4 linked regions of the Saccharomyces cerevisiae S288C genome follow. The gene in region 2 interacts genetically with the main gene of each other region. Each region holds a gene or a part of one and is shown on either strand. Other genes may lie near its edges.

Region 1 (8,993 bases), 1.0 Mb from region 2:
ATCGAAATCATTTGGATCTTTGTTGTACTGTCCAATTACACGTCTTTTAAGGCCTGTCTTTGAGTCTATTTCAAATTTTCTGGAAGCGGAAGAGGCACTTGCACTGTCATGGCCAAGGCTTTCCTCCGTGTCCTTCAGATCAAACTTTAATACATTGGTATGATCAAGTTTTTTTTTCAAATATTCCCTCTTACCAAGCTTACCAGTCGCTGACTGTGCTGTTGCAGACGATTTCGGTTTTGTTAGTTTGAATGTACCGATGCCAGAAAACAATGGCAACAATGCAATGAAAGCAATCACAATAATGAGAAGTAAAAAATAACCGTATAGATTCATGCTCCGGACTTATTGACTTAGGCACCGAGAACTTTAAGGGAATTCGTCCTTTTCTTTTACTAAACGTAGATCATGGGTGCTTGATTTAGAGATACAACTCATCGCACTTGACAAATTTCAAAAAACCGTATTCAGTGATCATATTTGAAAAGTCACGTTTCTTACAATGTCCACATAGCCCTATAGGATATGAGGGATTAGTAACCGTAAATGATCTCTTTGAATCGCATTTTTAATTGAAAGCAACCTCGCTTGAAGACACTTACAAATCGTTACGTACTACTGAATACCAGAAAGATAGTATTTCAAAAAAAACTAAGCGAGAAGATAGAGTGTAGCAATGATTAAGCGGTCTCTCGCAAGTTTAGTTCGAGTCAGCTCTGTAATGGGCAGAAGATATATGATAGCAGCGGCAGGAGGAGAACGTGCCAGATTTTGTCCAGCTGTAACAAATAAAAAGAATCATACTGTAAATACTTTTCAGAAGAGATTTGTAGAATCCTCGACAGATGGTCAAGTTGTGCCTCAAGAAGTGTTAAACTTACCGCTTGAAAAATACCATGAAGAGGCAGATGACTACCTAGACCATTTACTAGATAGCTTAGAAGAACTGAGTGAGGCTCATCCGGATTGTATACCTGATGTAGAGCTAAGCCATGGCGTAATGACATTGGAAATTCCAGCTTTTGGAACGTATGTAATAAACAAACAGCCTCCAAATAAGCAAATTTGGTTGGCATCACCATTGTCCGGGCCTAACAGATTTGACCTTCTCAATGGGGAGTGGGTTTCGTTAAGAAATGGCACAAAGCTAACAGATATACTTACTGAAGAAGTTGAGAAGGCCATTTCTAAAAGCCAATAAGTGCACTTATCCATCGACTCTCTTATATTTATTTAAACACTTGTAACGCATCCAATCTATTTCATAGTTAGAGTCTCTCTTCCTTGTTATTGATATGATTTTTCTTTTGTACCGTGTGTGTATGTATGTATGTATGAACGTACTACTAAGCTTCAACGTCACTCTATAAAGAAACTAAAAAGACACGTATTTATACCTTTTTTGAAGAATGCGAGATTGCAATGAAATATGTGTCTATTTTTTACATGAATCTTTTGACCAACTCCTCATATATACCCCACGCAATACCTGCACTGAAGGCCTTTCTTGCCAGCCTCATGCTTAACCCGCTAAATAACTTCAGCACATTTTCATTTTTAACTATAGATGTAAATGTATTGAAGGAGTTGGTAAATTTTGATGGTTCCAATTGCATTCTCGTTTTTATGGTGTCGAACGGTGCCGTTACTGTGGTGGCTAAACTGGCGGATAGTACGGCGCTTGTTGTATTTACTGTTGTAGAGGTATAAGTAGTAAATCCTCCCTCAGGATTGTAATGTATAAACCTAGAAGGTAATACCATGGGCAGTAATTGTTTCGATTTTTCATATAGCAGCACATACAAACCTGCATAGGGAGCGTCTCTTAAACAAGTAGCTCCAAACCCTCTGAAAAATCCAAAAAGTCCTTCCTTAGTATATATATGGGTAATTGCCTCCTTTAAACTGGAGTAATTGTACAGAGTAGACTCATAACGGACTTTAATGACGGTGATAGGCATGGTTATATAACCTACCAAACCTCTTGCAAATGCACCTGTTAGTAAATTTTCATACATCGTTAATCGTGGTAAGCTACTGCTCTTGTTATATACAATGTTTGAATCGTTTGTTAATGAAGGCACAGCATTCCTCCTCTTTGCCAAAGATGAGCGCATAAGGTTCAAACATGATAAATATAAGGCGCTGCCTATTGATGTTCGTAATGCTGAAGGTAATGTACCTCTCCATAGCTGTAGAGGGCTGTCTATCTCTTTCAAATTTTTCCATAATGTAGCTTTCTTGTCTTGCTGGATTCTCGTCTTCAAAAGGTCTAAAGGTTGCAACGCAACAGCAGATGTTAGCCCACCGAAAAAGCCCCCGATCAAATGCGATGAATTTCTTGGCTTAGTTGCTTGCTCAGTCATGTATGCTGCTTCACAAATTGTGTACCTTCTAGTTGTTCCCGCTGTGCTATTTGCTTTTCTTTTGGTATAAGCTTATCCTTTTACTTCAATCACCCCCTCGTGAGAATTTAATGTGGAAGCAATATACTACTACACCGTTGACTTGGAGATTTTCAAGCTCAATTTTGCGTTCACTCAAATCTAAGTCATTTGAAACAAACACAACTTCTAAATATAGCAAGAGAAATAGGTCAATAACGCAGACACATATTTAACATTTAAGATACTGATAGATATTCAAAAGGAAACAGTCACCACAAGCGTTGGAGATTCAGCAAAACCCAAAAAGCAAGAAATTACAAAATCATTGTCTCGCTGATGAAACACCATCCTTTAGTGTTTGTATCCATTCAGCGTACCCTCTTGTTCTTGAGACTGGTGAATTTCGTAACTAGTTGAATATTGCAGGGTTTTCTTTTTCTAAATATGTATTAATGGTGGTGCCTGTCAGGGCGCGATAGAAGTGAAAAATTCTCGAATGGCTGGTTTGGTGGCCATTGAGCTGATCTGAAAAGGATGGTGAGATCAAGCTTGATATCTTGCATGCTTGGACCAACTATTTAAAATAAGTATTGAAAAAGGAGAATTTAGTTTCATTTACTCTCTACAATTGGATATTATACAGTTAAAACAAGAGAAAAGGCCAAAATTAACGGGACTCTGTTTGCATAACATATCTATAATATCAGTTTGATCTACTGCTGTTAAACTAATTTTTCTTTCTTCTGATTTCACTTCGTCCTTAATATTTTAACACATTAACTGTTTGCTATAAGCATACATTGCTTTTACCACTTTTTTTAATAATATCTTTTTATCCGTATTAATTACCGCATATAATTTTAGTTCGAAACATTAAAGGTCAGTCCCGAAGTTATAATTATAACATTTAATTCCTGAATTTACCGTATTACATTTAAATTTGCATAATGGCCACTAACTTAACATCTTTGAAGCCACCATTTAAGGTGAAGGCCAGGTATGGTTGGTCGGGCCAAACTAAAGGCGACTTAGGCTTTCTGGAGGGAGATATTATGGAAGTCACAAGGATTGCCGGTTCTTGGTTCTACGGCAAGTTATTGAGAAACAAAAAATGTTCTGGGTATTTTCCTCATAACTTCGTCATACTATTAGAGGAGAGATTAAATTCGAGCACTGAAAATGGTAGGCAACCTTCAAAAATAGTAGAAAGTTTTGAAAAATCAAATAAAGTTGTTATTCCACCAGTACCATCAAGGTATTCTGACGAGAGGCCAAGGCCTAAAAAGAAGCTATCTTCATCAATGCCCAATTCACCCAAGAAGCCGGTAGATTCTTTGACAAAGGCTAGAAAGGCAAAATCAAAAGAAATGGTAAATGAAAAAAATATCTATAATACCCAATCCTCTCGACATCATAATAACTCAGCTCCAAATTTACCTTTGGCTAGCCATAGTAAGCCTCAAGTACGAAATTTCGAGGAGTCCATGAACAATCCGTTACCACCTCTACCGCCACTACCAGATTTGGACAATATGAGAAAGACAGATAAAAGGGCACCAAAGAAATCATATTCTGCAAACGATTTACATATGGCACGTTCTTCAAGAGAATATAACTATTACAAAGACAACCAGAAATTCTATGATGGGTTTATCCCAGAAAAGAGATATTCTTTAGAAGAGGACTCTATTTCATCAGGCCTGTTTTCAAACTCTCAGTACTTAAATGATTCTGCTTGTAGTAGTGAGAACAGTTTTGCCTTAATGAGTGATTTTAGTGCCACGAGCGCGGGAAGTTTCGCCAGACATAAATATGCACAATCGTTTTCCGATTCATTGCAAAGATCACAGAATGCAAATGGCTGCTCTACAAAGATAAATGATTCACAGGAGTTTGGTGATTCCAATGCTAGTTCGAGAAATGGAAAAATGGGTGATATCCTTAGGAAAATAATTATTCCAAAGAGGAATACAAATATTTACTCCAGTTCAGTATCCTCACCAAAGTCACCAAAAGCATATCCTAAACTACCAGATATTCAGAATTTAAACTTGTCTGCAACACCCGATGAAGCTCGCGATTGGATTGCGGTAAAATGTCACTTGAACAGAGCAAGGACTCTTACCAAATATGACAAACATCCGAGGTATATGAGAGCTCTCGAAGAAAATCGCGACTTGATCTTACATCCTCAAGATTCGATTTATAACGGGCTAAATACCAATGAAGTCAAAGGTAATACAAAGCCCGGTTTGGTCGATGTGGAACTGGCCGAATTAAACATAGAATACATTGATAAGATGACTTGGAAACGGTGTATTAGAGACGGAACTATGACATTAGACAGTTGGGCTCAAACAACTTTTTCAGCAAGATACTCAACTGTTCTGGAAAAGTTAAGAGGCATATACATTTTTTGCACAGAGATGTTTGCTCTGACTGATGATAATGGAACGTCAGATTTTTCTGCGGAACCCCAAAATTTAGAGAAAATACTATACAGAAAGCATTGTACGCCATATGAATTGACATGGCTTTTCAAGAAATTAGCAAACTCATTGGGAATCACTTGTGAAATTGTTATAGGTTTCCTGAAAACACCGAGTGCTATAAATTGGGAGTTTAAGTATAACCACTGCTGGTTGAGAATACTGGTTAACAAAGAATGGAGATTTATTGACGTTATTTTAGGAAATGTAACCAACCCAATTCATGAATTTGTAAATAACAGAAAGATCAAGAAAGCAGAAAATAGCTACTTTTTGATGGCACCATTAGAAATGATATACACACATATACCGCCTAGGGAATTTGAGCAGCATATTGTTCCTAGTATCGATCAATTATCTGCATTGTATCTGCCATTAGTTTTTCCATCTTTTTTCAAAAATGAGTTAAAGTTATACAAATTTAGTACTGCACTATCATTTTTGGAAGATTCTGAGATCTACGAATGCTCCTTAGAAATTCCCAATGACGTTGAAGTCTTTGCATCCGTGGTTATTCCAACGGATAATGAAGAAGCTTCATCTGCGTACAGGAATATGGAACTCGCACTGACCCAAATCAAAAAGCAGAAAGCCGAGTCTGGTAGAAGAATTGCTCTAATCAAAGCAGTCCTACCACCCAATGTGAACAAAGGTTCACTGTACATACATTCAGGTGTAAGAGGTACGCAAACGAGTATTGCCAATATCCATCCACTGTCCATGATGGTCCCATTAACACATAAGGGAAGTAACATGAAATACGAATTTGTGATCAAGATACCCTCAGAAAGCATTCAGAAGATTGAGCTATACATTGTCGAGCCACAGAGTAGATATCTATTTGTTGGTAATGAGTACTCATTCGAAGTTATTCAAAGTCCCTCCGATGGTATTGTATACAGCAGTGATGAAGGGCCGAACCAAAATAGGAAACAACCAATGGCAATAAAATCACCCTCAGGAAGAGTTCATGAGCTAGTCAAGAGCGATCCCCACTTTCCTTATGGTACCTGGAAAGGAAGCATTAAAATCAAAGAGCCCGGCGTCTGGAGCGCTTTAGTGATCGCTGACTCTGGTATTGGGTGGTCCGTTTTTGCTGAATGGTTGTGCGTATAAACGTTTTTCACAAATTTTTTTACAGCGCTATAATCTGTATCATTCAACATACATTCTACTCAGGAAGGTGAATTTCATAACTCATATATGGCTATATAGTACTTATTATTTAATGATTTATCCATTGCATTCATAAAAGCTATGCTGGTCCAACTTTTTCGTATTTAGTGATGTTTTCGGTGAAGAAAATATGAAAAATTAGACCAAATGCTCAAATACATACGACATTTGAATTGTTTAGGCAAGTCCGAAAACGAGGTATATCAGCTAATTCAACCTGAAAACCAATTGAGTGCTACTTCGAAGTAAAATACATAGCCATTTCAAATGGAATTATCCCCTACTTATCAAACAGAACGCTTCACAAAGTTCTCAGACACTTTAAAGGAATTCAAAATTGAACAAAATAATGAGCAAAACCCCATTGACCCGTTTAACATCATAAGAGAGTTTCGCTCAGCCGCGGGGCAGCTTGCGTTAGATTTGGCTAATTCTGGAGATGAAAGTAACGTCATATCTTCTAAGGATTGGGAACTGGAAGCTAGATTTTGGCATTTAGTAGAACTGTTACTGGTTTTCAGGAACGCTGATCTTGATCTAGATGAAATGGAACTTCATCCTTATAACTCGAGGGGTTTATTTGAAAAGAAATTAATGCAAGACAACAAACAACTTTATCAAATATGGATAGTGATGGTTTGGCTCAAAGAAAATACATATGTGATGGAAAGACCCAAAAATGTACCAACTTCAAAATGGTTAAATAGTATTACTTCTGGAGGATTGAAAAGCTGTGACTTGGATTTTCCTTTACGAGAAAACACTAATGTCCTCGATGTTAAAGATAAAGAAGAAGATCATATTTTCTTCAAATACATTTACGAACTAATTTTGGCCGGTGCGATTGATGAAGCATTAGAAGAAGCTAAACTTTCCGACAATATTTCAATTTGTATGATCCTGTGTGGGATACAAGAGTACTTAAACCCTGTCATTGATACGCAAATTGCAAACGAATTCAATACCCAGCAAGGTATCAAGAAGCACTCTTTGTGGAGAAGAACAGTTTACAGCCTTTCGCAGCAGGCCGGTTTGGACCCTTATGAAAGGGCGATATACAGCTATTTGAGTGGCGCTATTCCCAACCAAGAAGTTCTGCAATATTCGGATTGGGAGTCTGATCTGCACATACACTTAAATCAAATTTTACAAACTGAAATTGAAAATTATCTTTTGGAAAACAATCAAGTAGGTACTGATGAACTGATTTTACCATTACCTTCACACGCGCTAACTGTACAAGAGGTGCTTAATAGAGTGGCTTCAAGGCATCCCTCAGAAAGTGAACATCCAATCAGAGTTTTAATGGCATCTGTCATACTAGATTCTTTGCCATCAGTTATTCATTCATCCGTGGAAATGTTGCTTGATGTCGTCAAGGGAACCGAAGCTAGTAACGATATTATAGATAAGCCTTATCTTCTGAGGATAGTTACACATTTAGCCATTTGCCTTGATATAATTAATCCAGGTTCTGTTGAAGAGGTTGATAAGTCCAAGCTCATTACTACGTATATCAGTCTTCTGAAATTGCAAGGCCTTTATGAAAATATTCCAATATATGCTACTTTCCTGAATGAGTCAGACTGCTTAGAGGCATGCTCTTTCATATTGTCTTCTTTAGAGGACCCCCAAGTAAGGAAAAAGCAAATTGAGACAATAAACTTTCTAAGATTACCTGCCTCAAATATTTTGAGAAGAACCACACAGCGTGTTTTCGATGAAACCGAACAAGAATATTCACCATCTAACGAAATTTCCATATCTTTCGATGTAAACAACATTGATATGCACTTAATATATGGCGTGGAATGGCTTATTGAAGGGAAGCTTTATGTGGACGCTGTCCACTCTATCATTGCCTTATCGAGGAGATTTTTGTTAAATGGCCGCGTAAAGGCTCTCGAACAATTTATGGAGAGAAATAATATTGGAGAAATATGCAAGAATTATGAATTAGAGAAAATAGCCGATAACATATCAAAGGATGAAAATGAAGATCAGTTTTTGGAAGAAATAACTCAATATGAGCATTTGATAAAGGGCATAAGAGAATATGAAGAATGGCAAAAATCCGTTAGCTTGTTAAGCTCTGAATCGAACATTCCTACTTTAATAGAGAAATTGCAAGGTTTTTCAAAGGATACATTTGAATTGATCAAGACATTTTTAGTAGATTTAACTTCCTCTAATTTCGCGGATTCGGCAGATTATGAAATCCTGTATGAGATTAGAGCCCTATATACTCCATTTCTACTGATGGAATTGCATAAAAAGTTAGTGGAAGCCGCAAAGTTGTTAAAGATCCCAAAATTTATTTCGGAAGCCCTGGCATTTACCTCATTGGTCGCTAATGAGAACGACAAGATTTATTTATTATTCCAATCTAGTGGAAAGTTAAAAGAGTATCTGGATCTCGTTGCTCGCACAGCAACCCTTTCGAACTGATCAATTAATGTATTGCAGAATAAGTTTATATTTTAAGTAAACAGCAATAATTTTATGCATTTCTTCTATCTATTTCAGAAGTAATTGACGTGATTTTTTATAGTTTTGCTTTGAATCTTTGTGTTTCCACACCGGAGAAAAAAAAGTTCATGAAGTGAAAAAGCGGTTAAACATGAATTTTCTACTATCTAAAGATAAAATTACAGATGCAGTTACTTACATACATTGAACAGTTTCTGACGGCAAATTTAGCTTCTATTAATTTTTTTCTGTAGCTGATGAAAAATTCTGTCCCTATGATGCGCCAATGGGTCATCAACATCCGTCGGAAAAAATTCATTTCTAGGGTATTCAATATCATCTCCTTCATCAGAATCATCTTCGTTATCACTTATCTCTATTTCACCTTCTTGGCCATCCAAGTCAATGAAATTCGAGGAATTTATGGATTTCAAGACATCACTTTTTCCTCCAAGCCTGTTAAAAAGATCCC
Region 2 (7,751 bases):
TTCGGTTAATGGTAAAGCATTACTGCGCTCATTATTGCTATGAGTGTTACTTAGTAATTCTAATTGATCAGCGGAATTATCATTACCACTGGTCAGGATCATTGAAATAGGTCTAGTGTTAAAGGACGAATTGGTACTGTTTCCACTCAACGATCTGTTCATTCGAGGAATTGGCAGATAATGCTGTTTGGGCAAAGAACCTGAGTGTACGCTAGATGGAGACTGACCGTATGGATCAACATTTTCTTCTTCATAATCATCACCTTCAGCTTCAGTAGCAGTTAAGTCGCCATTGTCTCCTGTGTCACTCAAAATTCCCGGTTTATGTAACCACGGGAATAAACTCGTTCTTCTTTTATTACTAGCAATAACATCCGGAGGAACCGGAGTAGAACCAAACGATTTTGAGTGTGGTCTTCTTTGCTTCGGAGGCTTTAACATTTTTGAAGTCTGTAGGTCTGATGAGTTCTCCGGTATCGAAGTAGATATTGGCGATAACGTCGTATGGTCTAGTTTATTGTTATTGTCAATCGCCGGTGGGTTTTTATTGGAAGAAACTATTGGTGGCGAATCCGATGAGGTGATCTTTGGTATTTCTATAGGATCAGTTTTCTGTTTATCTCCATTATTTTTCTTATTTTCGGTTGACAACCGTTCCTGTTGTTCCCTTTTAGCCAACTTCAAAAGATGGGGTAATAGCTTGTACGAGTATTCAATCAAAAATTCCACTACTAGTCGGGATAACTCGTATTCTTTGGGGTCCATATCATGTTGAGGATGCGATAATATTGAAGGTTGGAAGATGGCCGCCAAGTTTCTACCAGACATTAGGTTAAACTGTGATTGCCTTGCAAAAAGACTCAGTAAATCGAGTAGGTATATAGTTAGCTGTTTCGTGTCATTTGATAAGGTAACAAAGAGCTCTTCATATTCCTTGATAGCTGCCCTTATATCGCGGGTCAGCCTTCTCTTATGACGTATTTTTCTTCGTCTTTTTTCTTCATCATCTTTAGCGTCCTCCTTTTCGATGTCACCATCATTAGCACCATCATCATTATAGTTCTGTCTACTTGATTTTACTGTTACATTATTTGTTTTATTCGCATTCGGATGAGAAACTTCGTGGGTCAACATATGCCTTAGGATTCTTGGTCTAGATCGTAGCGGGTTTCTGAATTGTTCATATAGGGATAAAGGTATTAGTGGTTCGGCCAAATTATTAAGGTATCTCCTCAGGAGCGATGCAACATCGTGCACTGTATATGTTTCCCAATCGTTGAATTTGGTACCATAATCAGGTGGCGACGAGAATATGTATTGAAGGGCTTTTACTCTTTTACCATTGCCCGCTATACGAAATATACCCGAGGTCTCCAATCCATTTGCTTTTAAGTATGCGCCGCACTTGGCTACCACGATGGGTATCCGACCAAAACTCACCAACTCACTTTGAACAATGACCTCTGCACTGGCGACGCTCAACGATTCTGCTAAAGTAACACCGAAAACCCTACCTGTGAAACCATTTCTATTAGATAAAAACATATCTCTGTAATTTTTGAACTCTGCGTGAGGCGATGTTCCGGAATTAGCGTTGTTATTGTTATTGTTCTGTTTCGCGGATTTGGAAAAGGATTTCCTATCTTTGGTTGGGGTATTATATGAATATGGTCTTGAAGATAATGGAGGCCGTTTTAAAGTAGTTGGTTGAGCATTCCTTGAAAGAGAAGTTGGTGATCTAGGGACTGTAATATTTTCGGATGACATACTCTTAGGGTTGTTTATGAACTGCTTCCAAAAACTTGGGACATGACCTTTAGAGGGAGAAACATTTTCAATTTTGGAGCCTTGTTTAAGAGTATTATTTGGCATTATAAAGATATTTTTAGTTTATCTTAGTGGTATTGAGAGGATGAAAGTAAGACCAAAGCAGGAATCAAATTGGAAGCTCGAAAGCAAACTTGTGAAGGCTAATTTCTCTGCCCCTCTACTTTAGAAAAAAATTGCTGTGAAATGAGAACGGCTTTTTGAACACTGCAATATAACTTTCTGGAGAAAATTTGTTCTGATAACTTTGTGATGCGTGAAAGCTTAAGAGATCAAAAATATGTGGAGTTTTCAAGTCACTAGTGAATAAAACCAGTGGAATGGGTAAAAAAATTTTTTGTAACGGGCCTGCTATTCTAGGAAACCTAACGAAGACTTTATCAATTTGTTTTTCCTCTTCTGAGATCGTCCGATCAAGCCTAACAGTTTCGCGAGTAAAAAGGATGATTTCTTCTAAATTTAGTATTAAAGTAATGAATGCGTACACCCTGCTTGAAGATGTTGTGCAATGTAGCTCAGTTTCTTCCGCGCCAGGCCACTAGTCTTGCTTTTTTCCTGTTTGTCAGCACCGGTTTCCCAACTGGGCTGTGTCATCGACAAGACAGAGATGGTGTTTTATAAAAGAGAAAGGAGACTGAGGAACGTCGTTTTAGGAAGACTAGGCGAGGTGAGCGAGAAAACTGATTTCCCCATATGGTAGGCTTTGTACCATATTGGGAAGGTGGCAGCCCTATTGGGAACGCGCTCCTTCCCTTTTGGGATATTGTCAGTAGGGTAATATGCTCGCCGCATGCCCGTAATAGATAGACTCAAACGATACTTTGTTGGTGGAAGGATGAATTACCCTATATAGTATTTAAATTAAGAAACATTACAATAAAAGAAAAAGGTAATGGTAACATCTCACAATAGAAGGTAATGAATACAGAGGGATGCAGGGGCCTCCTCTAGTTCTTGTTGAGTTGCACGTAGTTCCCAGGAAACACACCTTGCTGGCCATTGTATCTTCCTGTCCACCATTCGTTCACGTCCGGAGTACGCTGGACAATTTCTATAACTGCGCCGGCAGGGAAAGACAAATCACCAGCAGCTTGAGCTTGGTAGTCATACAATGCGGTAACAGTTTCAACGCCAGGAGCTGCCGCTACGGCCGCGGCTGGTGTGCCCGCAACAGGTGATGTTAGAGGATTAGAGTAGGCCGGTGGTGGTCCCTGTTGCTGCTGTGGTGATTGTTGGAAGCCTAGCCCAGTGAGCGGTGGAGATTGCGCAGCAGCATACTGTGGATAAGTACCCGGAACAGCGCCAGCAGCAGCACCAGCAGCAGTACCAACAGCAGCAGCAGTACCAACGGCGGCAGCAGTACCATACTGGGCAGCAGGTTGAGCGGCGTAACTTGGTGCTGCGGCACCATAACCGTATCCTGTAGGGGTTGGAGAAGTGGCAGTTGCTGGATCATACCCAGCACCATATCCGACACCGCTTGATGCGCCACTGACGGGTGAGCCTTCGGCGGTTGCTACACCATACTTCCTTCTGGTCATCTCCAATTTTGCCTTAGAGTAACCGAGTTTAAAGTGTGTAATAGTCAAGGCGTCCGTTTGTTCTTCCACATTGCCTTTCTTGGCAATGTACGACTCTACAATGTCACTGTTCAAATCAAAATATGGAATCTTCATGTCTTGAAGTCTATTATACAAAGTGTAAAAAATGTTCAATTGCATGAAATAAAATGAGACAAATAATGGTTTCACAAATTCAGCTTCCAAACTGAACAGTATTGGTAATTGAGTCTTTAGCAAGTCGTTATAGTAATCATATTCTTGTTGAGCCACTTCCACTTGAGCTTGTGCTTTATACAATCTTTCTTCGTCTTTGGCGGTTGGTTCCTTCTTCTTTTCATGCTTGTTATAAGTGTTTAGATGTCTATCTAAATCTAATTTTTTGTGATTTCTCTTGGTGGCCATTTTACGAATATAAGTAATAATCTTCAACAGTTCCTGGCATGGCGTAACAATTTTTTCTTCCACCAAAGCCAGATCCGGTTTCAATGTTTCCTGTAATTCTGCGACAATTGCCCTATACTGTTCACTTGCTTCAATACCTTGTGGGTTGTCCTCTGGTATGGTAGCGTTAGGGTCACTCATTTTACCACTGATAGGTTTGAAAATTTCCTCCATGGATTTGGCAAATCCAATTTGGTGTGTCAGCATTCCATTCACCGCAGTCGAGTATCTCTTCGATTCCTCACTTAATTTTTTTGTCTCCTGCTCCAATTCTTGAAAACGACGTTCTGCATCCTCGTAAACAGGATCCTCTGTCTGCTCACCCATCTTGAACTTTTGACGGAAGGACTGAGGAGCCCTACTAACAGCCTTGGTAAACCCTTTAAAACTCATGTGCACTTATTGGCTCCTTGATTCTTGGTGTTAAATGACCAGGTGAGCCTCACTTTACTTTATTCCTTAAAACAGGTTGTTAAACATCGACACTACAAAGCCCTCTCCTTTTTTTTTTCCGGTACCAATATTATCGCAACATCCGAACATCGGTCGGATTGATAATTTAGTCAGGTAGACTACCATAGCAACTGGAAGGTATACATAACAAAATTTCCATACGAAAGGAACTTCTTGAACTATATACAACCTTATATGTGCAACTGTAGCGTGCACTTATAGTCCATGGTCAAAAAGTATCTTTTCTCAGTAGAAAACAAAAGCGTACAGGCAAGCGACAGGAAAGTCAAAACTTGATAGAGGTATGTCTACAGATGAAAGTGAAGACGTTTATTCTGATCTGTATTCCATTATCTCCCAGGTAACATCCAATACTGCCAATGACATCGAGCAACTCCCATATGCTTTAACGTTCAAAACGTCGTTAATCTTCGTTGGTGCTACCATTGGTGGGCTTTTATTCGGCTATGATACTGGTGTTATATCAGGTGTTCTGCTTTCTTTAAAGCCCGAAGATCTATCTTTGGTAGTTTTAACGGATGTTCAGAAGGAGCTGATAACTTCCAGTACAAGCGTCGGATCATTTTTTGGCTCTATTCTGGCATTTCCTTTAGCAGATAGGTATGGAAGAAGAATTACTCTCGCAATCTGCTGTTCAATTTTTATCCTAGCTGCAATTGGAATGGCTATAGCAAGAACATTGACGTTTTTGATTTGTGGGAGATTGCTGGTTGGGATCGCTGTTGGAGTGTCTGCCCAGTGCGTCCCTCTATTTCTGAGTGAAATTTCACCTTCCAGAATCAGGGGTTTTATGTTGACATTGAACATTATTGCCATCACTGGAGGTCAATTGGTTTCCTATGTGATTGCGTCCCTTATGAAAGAGATTGATAATTCATGGAGATATTTGTTCGCACTTTCTGCTATTCCAGCTATTCTGTTCCTTTCAATACTGGATTTTATCCCTGAATCGCCACGATGGTCCATTTCCAAGGGAGACATTCTATATACCAGGGATTCTCTAAGAATGCTATATCCTACTGCATCTACATATCATGTGAATAGTAAAATTAAGCAGCTGATAATTGAACTCGATAAGTTACGACTATACGAAGATGCAAGTGAACCTTTACTAGTACAGTCCCAATCGGTTATTCGATACATGGATAGTTCAACCTCAGGAACTCTTAGCCCACCTAACATTAAAAGACTTTCCTCGAACACAGAAAGAACTAGCAACACAATGTCCTCCTCATCAGCATATCTATCGGCGTTGCGAGGCCCAGCTCCAAACGGTGCCCTGGCATCTAACAAAAAGAAAAGACACAGAATGGAGCCACGCACAATAAGAGCGTTAATAGTAGGTTGCATGTTAATGTTTTTCCAGCAAATCACTGGCTTTAATGCTTTTATGTACTATGCGGCAATAATATTTTCCAAATTTAATATAAAAAACCCTCTACTGCCTCCAATTTTGATTGCCTCAACGAACTTCATATTCACTTTTTTCGCCATGTACACCATGGACTCTTTGGGAAGAAGAGCCATTCTTTTGAGAACAATTTTGATTATGACTGTTGGGTTACTTCTTTGCAGTGTAGGTTTCGGTCATGACCAAGTCAATTTACTTTTAATTTCTGTTGTAATTTATGTTGCAGCATATGCTTCTGCGATGGGCAGCGTTCCATGGACCTGTGTGGAATTTCTCCCCTTGAACAGGAGATCATTTGGGGCATCATGTATAGCCTGCACAAATTGGTTGACCAATGCATTTGTTTCAATGACATATCTGAGCACTATTAACACCATTGGTGATGAAAATACAATGCTCATTTTTGCTTTTTTCACAGTTTGTGCCTGGTTTTTCGTATATTTTTGGTATCCAGAAGTCAAAGGTTTGTCACTGGAAGAGGTTGGAAGGGTTTTTGATAATGGAATTGATGTTCATTATGTCTTTCGTACCTACCATTGATGAGTTGTCAAGTGGCATCATAATGCATTGGGGCGGCTTTCAGATATGCTTCTGGTATATTTGTCCGTGAGAAATTAAGGCTTCTTTTCTTATATATGTATATATTAGTTAAAAGAATATCATCACTTTTTTCTTTATAAAACCTTGCAGGGATGACTATATTTCAAATTGCTAAAGTTTACCAAAAGCATCATATATCTTTTCTGAAAGAGATTTAGTAATTTTCTTCGCACCAGGTGCATCTCCCAGTACATTAAACATCAACAATTTAGCCTCTTCTTCCGAGGAGCACGTTTTATATGCCATTAGTATTTTATTCAGGGTAGGAAATATTTCTTGGATGGCTACTGCTTTTTCTAAAGATATACCTTTAACAAGCATTAAAACATGTATAGTTAGCTCACCAACCGTCTTTAGATCGCCTTTTCCCATTAGTTCTTGAAAGCATTCAAGATTATGACAGCATTCAATACCGCCTTTTCGTTCGAATTCTCGACGAAACTGTAGAAGCACCTTTTTATAATCGTCCTTGCTTTTAAGGTCACTTGGAAATATAACTATGAGATCTTTTTGAGAATAGTGATGAGAAATTACAGTATGCAACGCATGTATCTTTTCCACAGTTTCATCCGAATTGCAAGTTCTTATCATGGAGAATTTGTAATACACTAAAATGACCCAAAGCGCGGTCTTTAGGGCCTCATTCATATTTCCAATGTTGCCACTCATAGTCTCCTCAATGAGATAGTATTTGTGTTCACAGCCAGATTTCTCTAACCTATTTTTTTGCTCCATAAACCTGTTATCCCTTATACTTAAAGCTAAATCGTCTAGCCTTTTTCTTTCAACTATGGTGTTGAGCACACACTGCAACCCGGTATTTTTATTCTTGGCAACCCATATAATATCACCCAAAGCGAGTTGCCTTATCTCTGACTTCATACCTTTTCTTTCAAATGCCCTTGAAAAAAACTCACGATCAGATTGTGACTTTATTTCTCTGTGATCAATAATTGGGAAAACTTCGAAATCACCACTACACCACAATTCGTAACTTACTCCGTTGTACCTTCTCCTCTTTATTGTGCTTTTAGCCTTTAATGCGGAATCAGGTACTGTTTGATCATCAGAGACCTCTTCCAATTTATGAGAAGATATATTAGTTTGGCTATTCAGTCTATCATTTTTAAATACATTGTTCTGCAGCCTTTGCGGCGTGCTCAAATCTTGAAAAGTTATATCCAGCATGAATGAAGTGTTATTTATATCGCAGGGCTCTTCTTCCTTACCATATTCACCACGGAGGTCAGTCAGATTTGCTGTGAATTCACTACTTTCATTCCTGGTTACGGAATACTCGTTAGGTTCTTCATTTTCTTTTGGAAAAGAGATTCCGTCTGCCGTCTTTAAGCTCTTTGTTAGTTCTACACCTTCCTCTGTTAGCGAATACCGTTTTGGTCTACCTTCCTCAAGAACCAACGAATGTTTTTTAAGTG
Region 3 (5,748 bases), on a different chromosome or scaffold from region 2:
ATTGGTGTTGATTGGAATTGTAAATTTGGTGAATTAATCTTTTCATTAATATGCTCGAATACTGCTGTGGCACGTTAGAATAATCCTGTTGAACCTGCTGCTGCTGCTGCTGCTGCTGTGTCTCTAACCTATTTGTGATCTCTTCCCAAATCTCCTGTTTGTTAGATTGCAACCTTCTGTTCATTTCTTGGATGAAATAATCCTTATCGATATATTGCAACTCATTCGAAAGAATTTCCTTTACATAGCGATTCAAATCATACTCCCAACGACTTTCAGCGCTTCCAGCAGTACCAATGCCTGGAGACTCAATAACGTCTGAAATCAAAGCACTCAAATAATTGTGCAATTCAGGGATTATTAAAAGCGACGAAGAATTATTAATTACAACGGGTATTTCTTGAGGGAGGTGTGTATCCAACTGTTTTACCAGTTGATCTTGCCATTGAGTAACATTCTCGACCGTAAATTTGTGATTTCGCCTCTGTAACTCACTCATGGAAGTTGAAATTGTCTCAACCTGTTTTGTCAGCGAGTTAATGTCATTTTCAAAATTAACCAAATTTGAGGGTAAAAGTCTTTTAATATTCTTTTCAAATTGAGAGACAATGATTTTTACTGTTTTATCCAATTCTGAACTGTGCTTTTCGTCCCGCTTACTCAACTCACTATATAAATGATTCACCTGTTTTTGTAGGTTGCTGAATGATTTGCCTGGAGAGGATGTAGCGCCGGATGAATGGCTTTCTAAATCATTATTTTTCACGGTTGTCATCAAAAAAGATCCAAAAAAATAAAAAACGAAGAAAAGGCCTCCATAGAAAATGTACGTCCGCCACTTCAACTTCTTAGCTTCACCTGAACTTTCCAAGTTCTCTTCAAAGTCAGAATTACTTTCCAAATCGTAGCTGTCGGAATCGCTGTCTTCTATAAAACTCTTGTCTGCCTCATCTGTATAGTCCTCGTCGCTATATCCGTCGGTCTCTTGTCCATTATCCTCAATGTACGGATCATCATCGTCGTCATCATTATGTTGGTCTAACGGAAAATCAAGATTTTTTTTGAACATTTCGTACGCGGAATCATTCTCTTTATCCATATCATAGTTGTCAGTTTCACCGCCATCGGTGTATATCCCTTTTTTGATGGCTCGTAGGCTAATCTCCTGTTCCCTATTCATTTTGTCCTTGAGGACATCTGCATACGCGGACTTTACAGCCTTATTGTAAGGCATTTGTTCATTAGCCGCTCCTGCCTCTTCCCGCCTATGCTCATTTGAGTTATTCATTTCCAGCACTTCCAGGATAAAAGTTACTACCAACTGAAAACAAGAGAAACCGCCGTGAAACTATGGAGCACTACAGTTAAAACACCACTAACTCCACTCTGTTGACTTTTATCTGTAACTCCTCATGACAACCTTGTTGATAATTATCTCAAGATGACGATATTTACATTGTCATTATATTCCATTTTCGCGTCTCATATGTTACCCGTATCAAAGAGTATAACCCTATCAATAAGTGATGTGTATCATTTATAAACCTCATATTTTAAGAATAAACCTATATAATATAGGAATATACCCTGAAAATAGTTAGAGGTCTACAATGCCCCTATTTTACCTCCAGAATTATAATCTCCTTAAGACTTCAACTAGAAGTGGTATTTACTAGCACACTGTGAAACAGTAGCGTCAAGTCGGTAGTAAACATCAATCGCGTCCCAACTGCAAGAGCTACTAGAAGTAAACACAGTCTTACCCAAACTAAGGATGAGTGAACCCGAAGTGCCCTTCAAGGTGGTGGCTCAGTTCCCATACAAGTCCGATTACGAGGACGATTTAAATTTTGAAAAAGATCAAGAGATTATTGTTACGTCTGTTGAAGACGCCGAATGGTACTTTGGTGAATACCAGGATTCAAATGGCGACGTTATTGAGGGTATCTTCCCGAAAAGTTTTGTTGCTGTTCAGGGATCTGAAGTTGGAAAGGAAGCCGAATCATCTCCGAATACCGGTTCCACTGAGCAACGTACAATCCAGCCGGAAGTAGAACAAAAGGACCTACCAGAGCCCATTTCCCCTGAAACGAAGAAAGAAACTCTGTCCGGGCCAGTGCCAGTTCCAGCCGCTACAGTGCCAGTTCCAGCCGCTACAGTGCCAGTTCCAGCCGCTACAGCAGTATCAGCACAGGTCCAGCATGATAGTAGTAGTGGTAATGGCGAAAGAAAAGTTCCCATGGATTCTCCAAAATTGAAGGCTCGCTTATCTATGTTTAATCAAGATATAACGGAGCAAGTTCCTTTACCAAAATCAACTCACTTGGATTTAGAAAACATACCTGTGAAAAAAACAATTGTGGCAGATGCTCCTAAATACTATGTCCCCCCTGGAATTCCAACAAATGATACGTCCAATCTTGAAAGGAAAAAGTCCCTAAAGGAAAACGAAAAAAAGATTGTTCCCGAACCAATTAATCGTGCACAGGTGGAAAGTGGAAGAATAGAAACTGAGAATGACCAATTAAAGAAGGATTTGCCCCAGATGAGCCTTAAAGAAAGAATTGCTCTTTTACAGGAGCAACAAAGATTACAGGCTGCAAGAGAAGAAGAACTCTTGAGAAAAAAGGCTAAGCTCGAACAAGAACATGAACGTAGTGCGGTTAACAAGAATGAGCCCTATACGGAAACTGAAGAAGCAGAAGAAAATGAAAAAACTGAACCGAAACCTGAATTTACGCCTGAAACTGAGCACAACGAGGAACCGCAAATGGAATTATTGGCACATAAAGAGATTACTAAAACCTCACGCGAAGCAGATGAAGGCACGAATGACATAGAGAAAGAACAATTTTTAGATGAGTACACAAAGGAAAATCAGAAAGTTGAGGAGTCACAAGCAGACGAGGCAAGAGGAGAAAATGTTGCTGAGGAAAGCGAAATAGGTTACGGCCATGAAGACAGAGAGGGAGATAATGATGAGGAAAAAGAAGAGGAAGATAGTGAAGAGAATCGTAGGGCCGCATTGAGAGAAAGAATGGCTAAACTATCTGGCGCTAGTAGATTCGGTGCTCCTGTTGGTTTTAACCCCTTCGGTATGGCTTCTGGAGTTGGAAATAAACCATCAGAAGAGCCGAAAAAGAAACAGCATAAGGAGAAGGAGGAGGAGGAACCTGAACAGCTCCAAGAACTACCTCGTGCCATACCTGTTATGCCATTTGTTGACCCAAGTTCTAACCCATTTTTTAGGAAATCAAATCTAAGTGAGAAGAATCAACCCACTGAAACAAAGACGCTAGATCCTCATGCAACCACAGAGCATGAACAGAAGCAAGAACATGGTACACACGCCTATCACAATTTAGCTGCTGTTGATAATGCACATCCCGAATACTCTGACCATGATTCTGATGAAGATACTGACGACCACGAGTTTGAGGATGCAAACGATGGGTTGAGAAAGCATTCGATGGTGGAGCAAGCTTTTCAGATAGGTAATAATGAGTCAGAGAATGTTAATTCCGGAGAAAAAATTTACCCTCAAGAACCACCAATCTCCCACCGTACTGCAGAAGTATCACATGATATTGAAAATTCATCACAAAACACAACTGGAAATGTTTTGCCTGTCTCTTCCCCACAAACAAGAGTTGCTCGCAACGGGTCGATAAATTCTTTGACTAAATCCATTTCAGGGGAAAATCGGCGGAAATCCATAAACGAGTATCATGATACAGTTTCCACTAATTCATCTGCATTAACAGAAACCGCTCAAGATATTTCGATGGCAGCTCCAGCAGCTCCAGTTCTAAGTAAGGTGTCACATCCTGAGGACAAGGTGCCACCTCACCCAGTGCCTTCTGCACCCTCTGCACCTCCAGTACCCTCTGCACCTTCAGTACCCTCTGCACCTCCAGTACCTCCAGCACCTCCAGCACTCTCTGCACCTTCAGTACCCCCAGTACCCCCAGTACCTCCAGTATCTTCAGCACCTCCAGCACTCTCAGCACCTTCAATACCTCCAGTACCTCCAACACCTCCAGCACCTCCAGCACCTCCAGCGCCTCTTGCGCTGCCTAAACACAATGAAGTAGAAGAACATGTCAAGTCATCTGCTCCCCTTCCACCTGTATCCGAGGAATATCATCCTATGCCAAATACTGCTCCGCCACTTCCACGTGCACCACCAGTACCACCGGCTACTTTTGAATTTGACTCTGAACCAACAGCCACTCATTCACATACAGCTCCTTCTCCTCCACCACATCAAAATGTCACGGCCTCTACACCTTCAATGATGAGTACGCAACAACGTGTGCCAACCTCAGTACTATCTGGGGCAGAAAAAGAATCACGAACCCTACCGCCCCATGTGCCTTCATTGACGAATCGTCCTGTGGATTCATTCCATGAGTCAGATACTACACCGAAGGTGGCCTCTATAAGAAGGTCAACGACGCATGATGTAGGCGAGATTTCCAACAACGTCAAGATAGAGTTTAATGCACAAGAAAGATGGTGGATTAATAAAAGCGCACCTCCTGCTATAAGCAATCTGAAGTTGAACTTTTTGATGGAGATCGATGATCATTTCATTTCCAAAAGATTACATCAAAAATGGGTGGTAAGGGATTTTTACTTCTTGTTTGAAAACTATTCGCAACTAAGATTCTCCTTGACCTTTAATAGTACAAGCCCAGAGAAAACGGTAACGACTCTTCAAGAACGCTTTCCATCGCCAGTCGAAACACAATCAGCACGTATTCTTGATGAATACGCTCAAAGGTTTAATGCGAAAGTTGTAGAGAAATCTCATTCATTGATAAATTCACATATTGGGGCTAAGAATTTCGTGTCACAAATTGTATCCGAATTCAAAGACGAAGTTATACAACCCATAGGAGCAAGAACGTTTGGCGCAACTATATTGAGTTATAAACCTGAAGAAGGAATCGAACAGTTGATGAAGAGCTTACAGAAGATTAAACCAGGTGACATTCTTGTAATTAGAAAGGCCAAATTTGAAGCTCATAAAAAGATCGGAAAAAACGAAATTATCAACGTTGGAATGGACTCCGCCGCTCCGTATTCGAGTGTTGTTACTGATTATGATTTTACAAAGAATAAGTTTAGAGTTATCGAAAATCACGAGGGAAAGATTATTCAAAACAGCTACAAGCTAAGCCATATGAAAAGTGGGAAGTTAAAGGTTTTCAGAATTGTTGCGAGAGGATACGTAGGTTGGTAATTTACCCAATGCTTCCAAGGGGAAATTGTGAATGCTTTCGATTTCATCATTTTCCTTTCGCATTTTCTTATCGTTATAGTTTAAGTGTATATTTTCATAACTCTTCTACAGAAGAAACTATACAAAGATTAAACAACCGTTTTTGTATCAGGTCTTATTTGAGCGGCTCAAAACGAAAGGTAGGATTCACTTATCTTACCGCCGTCAATAGTATCCCAAGTTGTACCTTTTCGTATATACCTACAATTCTGGCTTCAGACGCAGTAATTTTTGAGCAATCGTAACAAACGGTTTGCCCCTAGAGTTTGAATTTTTCTTCATCACTCCATGATAGTGCTCTCATATATTATCTTACGGAAATTAATCCAATATAGGTGCCCAAAGGTTGAAATTAATACGAACTTTGACCTGGCCTTAATTATCGATTCTAATACTATCTGAGTTTAAAGAACTTGCGGGGAAGAAATACGGAAAACATAGAAAGGCGATGGCAGATGAAG
Region 4 (6,935 bases), on a different chromosome or scaffold from region 2:
CAGTTTAGTCTATATGAATTTTAGACTATGCGAGCGTGGCGGAGTTGGCTTTTTTGATGTCGAAGGTGGGGTTGCTACCGTCACCGTAGTCCTTGATGCCGCCGTCGTCTTGGTGGTCAGCCTTCTTCAAGGCATCTGTGAATTCAGTAAGATCCCATGCGGATCCCTGGGTGACGTCGTCTGGCATGTCGGCGTTGTCCGTCTCAAATGACTTGTTTTCGGCGCTCATCTTAAGAATGATTTCTCTACCAGTAGGTTTCCTCTTACTAGATAACTTCTTTTCAGCGTTAATCTTTGCGATGACGTGGTCCTTCTTCCATTGGGCGAAGTTGGCAATTGTTATTGGTGTTAGCTTGGATTTGTCTAGTTTCCCTCTTTCTGTTTCGATAAACTCCTCCAGCGTAATTTTTGGCTGTTTCTCGAGCGACTCCCTCTCGAGCCTCTTTTGCTCGTTGGTTTTCAGCACAAAGCCCTCTGGTAGGGAGTGTCTGTACATACATTTGTCACCTCCGTTAGGACAAATCCAAAACCAACCGTATTTACCGTTTTCCACGGCCTCGATGAAGTATTTGCATACTTTGTCGGTGGTGGTCTTTGGGTTACCGTGCTTCGACAGGATAACTTTTCTCAGCTTTTCTTCATCCCAGTTGTCCATTGTGTCATTTTCCTTTTCACTTCTTGTATCTTGGTATAAATCTTTCTTTTCCATTCTTCTACCGACGTTCAAGTCATGTGAGAACTTACATTTGGCACCTTTGTTACAATTCCCCAGTTTGAACAGAGCACAAACCATGGACTTGGGATCTACACCCGCACGAACCCTTTGGTCTGCTACAGGGTTGAATAGTGCTCTTCGTTCAGCTTCTTCGGCTTCTCTGCGCTTTTTTTCTTCGAGTTTCTTTAACCTCATCTCTTCTTTCTTGGGGTCGGATTGTGATTGCACTTGTTTGATGTATTTTTGGACTTTGGTAGAACGGTTCTTGTTCTTCATACCGAACGTCTTGTCGACATTATCCTTCTTCTTACCAGCCGCTTGGGCCTGTTTTCCCTTTTTTGGTGGCATCTTCGAAATATAACTTTCCTGCGATTTTATATGTGTAAAGCCCAGAGGTTTACTAATAGAGTGGCTTCCCTTGCTTTCTAGAAATAGTAAAACACATTGATTAAAAAAAGATATATTGTCGATTTTCACTAACTCATCGCTGGGGAACAAAAATTTTTTCATTATCATCACAGTTCATCATGTTCGACGAGCTACGTGCCAATTCATTTCCTCCACTAGTCTCCAACTTAAGAAATACTCTCAGAGGTTGCAATCTTGTGCTGTTCAGGGTGTGATGGGCAGCATTGACTAAATTTCCTTATCCCTTGCATAGTTACATTCTTAGTTATCAGGTATTGGCGACCAATTGCATACATTTTTATTTTCTACTTTAAAACTCAGTAATGAGCAGTTACCGGCCCTTCATTATGTAGAAAAACAGGATTCACTTCTTTCTACACAAGATACAAAAAAGAAAAAAAGGATCGATTGGAGGGTAAACGAAATCGTGTGATAGGCAGGAAAAGAAACATCTATTGCTACTTTAATTGAATTTGTGCTCTACTGAAATTTTTCAACAGAAGAAGTGCTTTTACTTCTCTCAATCTCTCCATGTCTCCCTTAACTAGAACCGTAGCTATAAAGAAAACGGTTAAGGTTCTATCTAAATGTCAATCTGGTAGAGAATACACACAGAAGTTTCTCCAACGTGCATATTCAACATCACATGCCAACAGCACATACTATTCAAGGACAAAGCTATTCATATCATCACATTCTAAAGCTCTAAACATTGCTCTACTAAGCGGGTCCCTACTGTTGACCTACTCCTACTATTCCCCTAAAAAGATCCTCTCCCTTGATACAATTAACGGAATAAAAGATTATTCTACAAATACTAGTGGTAACATTAACATGCCGTCACCTAATCCAAAAGGAACAGAGACACAAAAGAGTCAACGGTCTCAGAATGACCAATCTGTTCTTATCTTGAACGATTCTAAAATAGAGGCTAAACTACATGATAGAGAGGAAAGCCATTTTGTTAACCGTGGCACTGGTATATTCAGGTATGATGTGGCACAGTTGCCCTCTAACCATCCAATAGAAGACGATCACGTAGAACAAATCATTACCATTCCGATAGAAAGTGAGGATGGCAAGTCCATAGAGAAGGATTTGTATTTTTTTGGAATTTTTGATGGACATGGTGGTCCTTTCACTTCGGAAAAATTATCTAAAGATCTAGTCCGTTATGTAGCGTATCAATTAGGTCAGGTATATGACCAGAACAAAACGGTTTTCCATTCCGACCCCAACCAATTAATCGATTCTGCAATTTCGAAAGGTTTTTTGAAACTAGATAATGATCTTGTAATCGAATCGTTCAGGAAGCTGTTTCAAGATCCAAACAACACAAATATTGCAAACACTTTACCAGCGATTTCTGGTTCTTGTGCACTATTAAGTTTATACAACTCCACTAACTCAATTTTGAAAGTGGCTGTCACTGGAGACTCAAGGGCTTTAATTTGTGGTTTGGACAACGAGGGCAATTGGACGGTAAAGTCGCTATCCACCGACCAGACCGGTGATAATTTGGATGAAGTACGGAGAATTAGGAAAGAACATCCAGGAGAACCAAACGTTATAAGAAACGGAAGAATATTGGGTTCATTACAACCATCCAGGGCATTTGGAGACTATCGCTACAAGATCAAAGAAGTCGATGGAAAACCATTATCGGATTTGCCTGAAGTTGCCAAACTTTATTTTAGAAGAGAGCCAAGGGATTTCAAGACACCCCCATATGTCACTGCGGAACCAGTGATTACTTCTGCCAAAATTGGTGAGAACACTAAATTTATGGTGATGGGTTCGGATGGTTTATTCGAATTACTAACTAATGAAGAAATTGCTTCCTTGGTTATCAGGTGGATGGATAAAAATATGAATCTGGCACCTGTGAAGGCAGAACCGGGGAAATTACCAAAAGTTATCGATGTATCTGAAGACAAGGAAGCACAAAGACCGGCATTCAGGTACAAGGATAATAATTCGAGCTCACCATCAGGATCAAACCCAGAGTATCTTATTGAAGACAAAAACGTCGCCACTCATTTAATTAGAAATGCATTAAGTGCGGGCGGAAGAAAAGAATATGTATCGGCATTGGTAAGTATACCATCGCCGATGAGTAGAAGATACAGAGATGACTTGACAGTAACAGTGGCGTTCTTTGGTGATTCTGGAACACCCTCAATTGTCTCCAATGCTACTTCAATAGTTATGAACCCGGAGGCAACAACAAAGCCAAAACCTAGATTATGACGATATAAACTTATGCTGAGGTAGGTATATACCAGAGGATTTATTTTATAGATATTAGTCTGCTGATTATCTAGTTTCTTGTCACCTCATACGTGTTTTTTTTTTTTTTGGTTTTCTCGGTTTGCATTATGGGGCTTTTTGCTAAAACAATATCCCCGAAAAGACAAAGAAAGAGAAGTGAGGTGAAAATACGAGCAGCTTATCTTATAAAAGTGGCAACGATTTTAAAAATAAAAAGCAAGATCGTCGACTTATCTAAGCTATAAAAAAATATCCCTTTTATCACACAAAAAAATGAACACATCAGTCACTTCCATAAAGTTGGTACTGTTGGGTGAGGCAGCAGTTGGTAAATCGTCAATAGTCCTAAGGTTTGTATCTAATGATTTTGCCGAAAATAAGGAGCCCACCATTGGTGCAGCATTCCTCACTCAAAGAGTTACTATAAATGAACATACTGTTAAGTTTGAAATATGGGACACTGCTGGGCAAGAGAGATTTGCATCTTTAGCACCTATGTACTATAGAAACGCACAAGCTGCTCTTGTAGTATACGACGTTACAAAACCACAATCCTTTATTAAAGCGCGCCACTGGGTTAAGGAATTACATGAACAGGCATCAAAGGATATCATCATTGCGTTAGTTGGTAACAAGATCGATATGCTGCAAGAAGGTGGGGAAAGAAAAGTCGCAAGGGAAGAAGGTGAAAAGCTAGCGGAAGAAAAGGGCTTGTTGTTCTTTGAAACAAGTGCAAAGACAGGAGAGAATGTTAACGATGTATTTTTGGGAATCGGTGAAAAGATACCACTGAAGACGGCTGAAGAGCAAAATAGTGCAAGTAACGAACGTGAGTCGAACAATCAAAGAGTGGATTTGAACGCTGCTAATGATGGGACCAGCGCAAACAGTGCTTGCAGTTGTTAGAGAGGGGAAAATAAATATATATAAAAAAAAAGTCTGGGCAAATTGAGATAAATAGATCTTCAAAACGGGAAAGATGAAAGTCATAATTTATCGTACCTAGAAAGGAGAGGGAGTTTTCATTTTTTACCGTAATCGTTGTTTTTCTTTTCTTCTTATAATTTGTAAATTTTTTAACTGCATTAGATCATTATATTATCTTTCAAAACGCCAGTCGTTTTTATTAGACCTTTATATACGTTTCAAAGTGGTTTGTACACGTTAGTTTAGTTAAACTTTTGTTTTCATGTAGACCAAAATATAAACTTATTTTATGCCGAAAATCGGGAGATGGATTAGTTAATATTGTAAATAATGATAAATTAAAGGAACATTAAATTTACAAAGTTGCAATGAGGAGCAATATATATATATATATATGGATTTCTGAGAAATTAATTAAGCAGTATTTGAACACATGTCGTTTACTCTTTCTTATCCTTTATGTCTAATTTTTCGAGTAGATCGGTAATTACAGCTGTCAAGTTTTCCACTTTCTTAGTGAGCTCTTTGACTTCATCTTTATCTTCACCAGCATCATCTTCAGTGTCATCGTTATCATACTGTTCGAAGGAGGGACTGCATTTTTTAACGTTTTTATACCACTTCTTAGGGACTTTAAAATGGACATCTTCCTGCTCTGCTGTTCTTTGCAGTTTTAGCGAACGGGAATTCTTTAACTGGGTGGCTCTCATGCCAGAATTTCGGTTATCAGAAAACAAACCGTCATCATCATCCAAGTAGCCATCTGTCAAATCCCATGGAGTATCATATTCATTGGCATCATCGTTTAACCTTTTCATCCTGTTATATTTTATCCTTCTAGCCTCCCGAGTTTCTTTAACAGAAATAAGCAACAAAAATGGGCTGTACACTATTGTCATTACAGTATAGCTCAAATCTTTAGCACGCTTCGGTGGAAGAATACGAAAGATAGGTGTCATGAACACTTCAATTAAGTTCAATGGAGAAACATAGACATCTTCATCAGGTGCTCTAATGTATCTCAACGTCTTTTGTGACATCAAAGCCATGTACTCGTCATCTGCATTGTCAATAACTTTTTGGTACGCAGTCGAATACAAAGCAATTAATATATTCAAAAGGATAACCGAAACAATAAAATAGTAACCATAATACAGTATTGCCGCATATGGGGGAGCGAATTCTTCGAAAACATCAAAACTACCAAGACCCAAAACGGTGATTGTTAAATTACCCAGGATGGGTCCGGTGATATCTCTCTTACCATCTGCGGAATCCAAACCTAAGAAACCTTGAGTGAATCCTATCATTATTAAGAATAGAAGGAAGAAAAATACAATGGATTCTTTCATCATATGTTTTAGGATAACCAACATAATCCCAATAAACCTTTGTGATTCAAGGTATAGTAGGAGTCTCGACCACACAAATGGTGCTGCACAGGATAAGACTCTATATGATATTTTATCCCAATCTTCTGAAGAGTATTTTGCATTAAGGGGCGTTACGCTCATTGCACGGAACCCCATAGCAAACGTGATTATCAAATATGTGGTATCATTAAATAAATTCCAAAACGATAGGTGCGCATAACCAATATAATAAAGCTTAGTGAGCTCATCCAAGATGAAACCAGTATTGAAAACATAAAATATGCTTTCTAACAAATCGAAAGATTGGACTCTCTCAGAGTCCTTACCATTAACCACCAAGGTATAAAGCCCTAGAAACAAAAATGAGAAGATCATCTGCAAATAATTTTGGTATACAGGCGCCTTTAATCTTACGGGGTTGAAATGAGAGATCAATGACACTTCCGCCAGTGAATCGTCCTTGATAAAAGTTGTGGGATCCAAGCCATTTTGGACTATCCATCCTCTCCATATCCATTTTAAACAACGCTGAAATCCACTCGATCCTATCACTGTAGTACAGTGCATATCTGTGGCAAGTTCCAAGGCATTCAACGGTTCTTGATCTTCATCGTTCTCGTTGATTACGTACCGACGCAGCAGTAACTGCATGAAAAGAAACTGCAGGTCTCTTGTCTCCTCCCTTTCAATTAACAATTTACATAACTGTTGTGAGGCTAAATTTCTGGTTTCGTAAAGTTTGGCATTGTGCACTTCCATAGTGGCCAATATGGAATACCACTCACAAACTTTAAGAAGTGAAAAAATAATGACAGATTGATATTTTCTTTTGTTGGCCTTGTCTTTAGGGTTCCCGCCACATGCTTCATAAGCCAGCTTCACAACTTTTGGAGATAAAATCTCAGAATGGTCACAAACAATATCATTGGGATCGTAAACAATAGGTACGACCTTATCAATTAAGTATTTCAAATTTAACGTAACCCTGAGAATCTGTCTCGGAGTGGGGGCCTCAAATCCAAGAGATCCATTGTTTTCCGGCATGCACTGTTCGTTAGAAATTGGCAAGTGCAAGTCGCCGTTGGCTGATACCATAATGCTCCTGTTCTAGTAATATTATATTTTATAACTGAATTCTATTGCCTTACCAAGCCACTGATTAATGACAATTGCATTGAATAGGCTCTAGCTGATCCTCGAAGGATACTGACTAAATTTACCACATATTTTCAGCTCTTATG

Evidence for each region.
Region 1: mutations in RVS167 (region 2) and CYK3 together harm fitness more than expected from each alone (negative genetic interaction), as found in Saccharomyces cerevisiae (5 studies listed by BioGRID, with this or other methods).
Region 3: mutations in RVS167 (region 2) and BBC1 together harm fitness more than expected from each alone (negative genetic interaction), as found in Saccharomyces cerevisiae (6 studies listed by BioGRID, with this or other methods).
Region 4: mutations in RVS167 (region 2) and VPS21 together harm fitness more than expected from each alone (negative genetic interaction), as found in Saccharomyces cerevisiae (6 studies listed by BioGRID, with this or other methods).

What each region holds. Positions count from the first base shown.
Region 1 is NC_001136.10:245,247-254,239, forward strand, and holds CYK3 (Cyk3p), read left to right. Parts: upstream 1-3,334; coding exon 3,335-5,992; downstream 5,993-8,993. Other genes in the region: EXP1 (Exp1p), read right to left, coding at 1-336; YFH1 (ferroxidase), read left to right, coding at 677-1,201; HEM25 (Hem25p), read right to left, coding at 1,443-2,366; NUP84 (Nup84p), read left to right, coding at 6,320-8,500; IWR1 (Iwr1p), read right to left, coding at 8,749-8,993. UniProt on the Saccharomyces cerevisiae protein: Involved in cytokinesis by recruiting INN1 to the bud neck. Cooperates with INN1 to stimulate the synthesis of the primary septum (PS) by CHS2.
Region 2 is NC_001136.10:1,246,658-1,254,408, reverse strand, and holds RVS167 (amphiphysin), read right to left. Parts: upstream 4,224-7,751; coding exon 2,775-4,223; downstream 1-2,774. Other genes in the region: GTPase-activating protein SAC7, read right to left, coding at 1-1,872; CIN10 (Cin10p), read left to right, coding at 4,588-6,255; MUS81 (Mus81p), read right to left, coding at 6,427-7,751. UniProt on the Saccharomyces cerevisiae protein: Component of a cytoskeletal structure that is required for the formation of endocytic vesicles at the plasma membrane level.
Region 3 is NC_001142.9:398,437-404,184, reverse strand, and holds BBC1 (Bbc1p), read left to right. Parts: upstream 1-1,774; coding exon 1,775-5,248; downstream 5,249-5,748. Other genes in the region: MPS3 (Mps3p), read right to left, coding at 1-1,288. UniProt on the Saccharomyces cerevisiae protein: Involved in the regulation of actin cytoskeleton.
Region 4 is NC_001147.6:487,561-494,495, reverse strand, and holds VPS21 (Rab family GTPase VPS21), read left to right. Parts: upstream 1-3,667; coding exon 3,668-4,300; downstream 4,301-6,935. Other genes in the region: translation machinery-associated protein TMA46, read right to left, coding at 26-1,063; type 2C protein phosphatase PTC5, read left to right, coding at 1,655-3,373; YVC1 (Yvc1p), read right to left, coding at 4,762-6,789.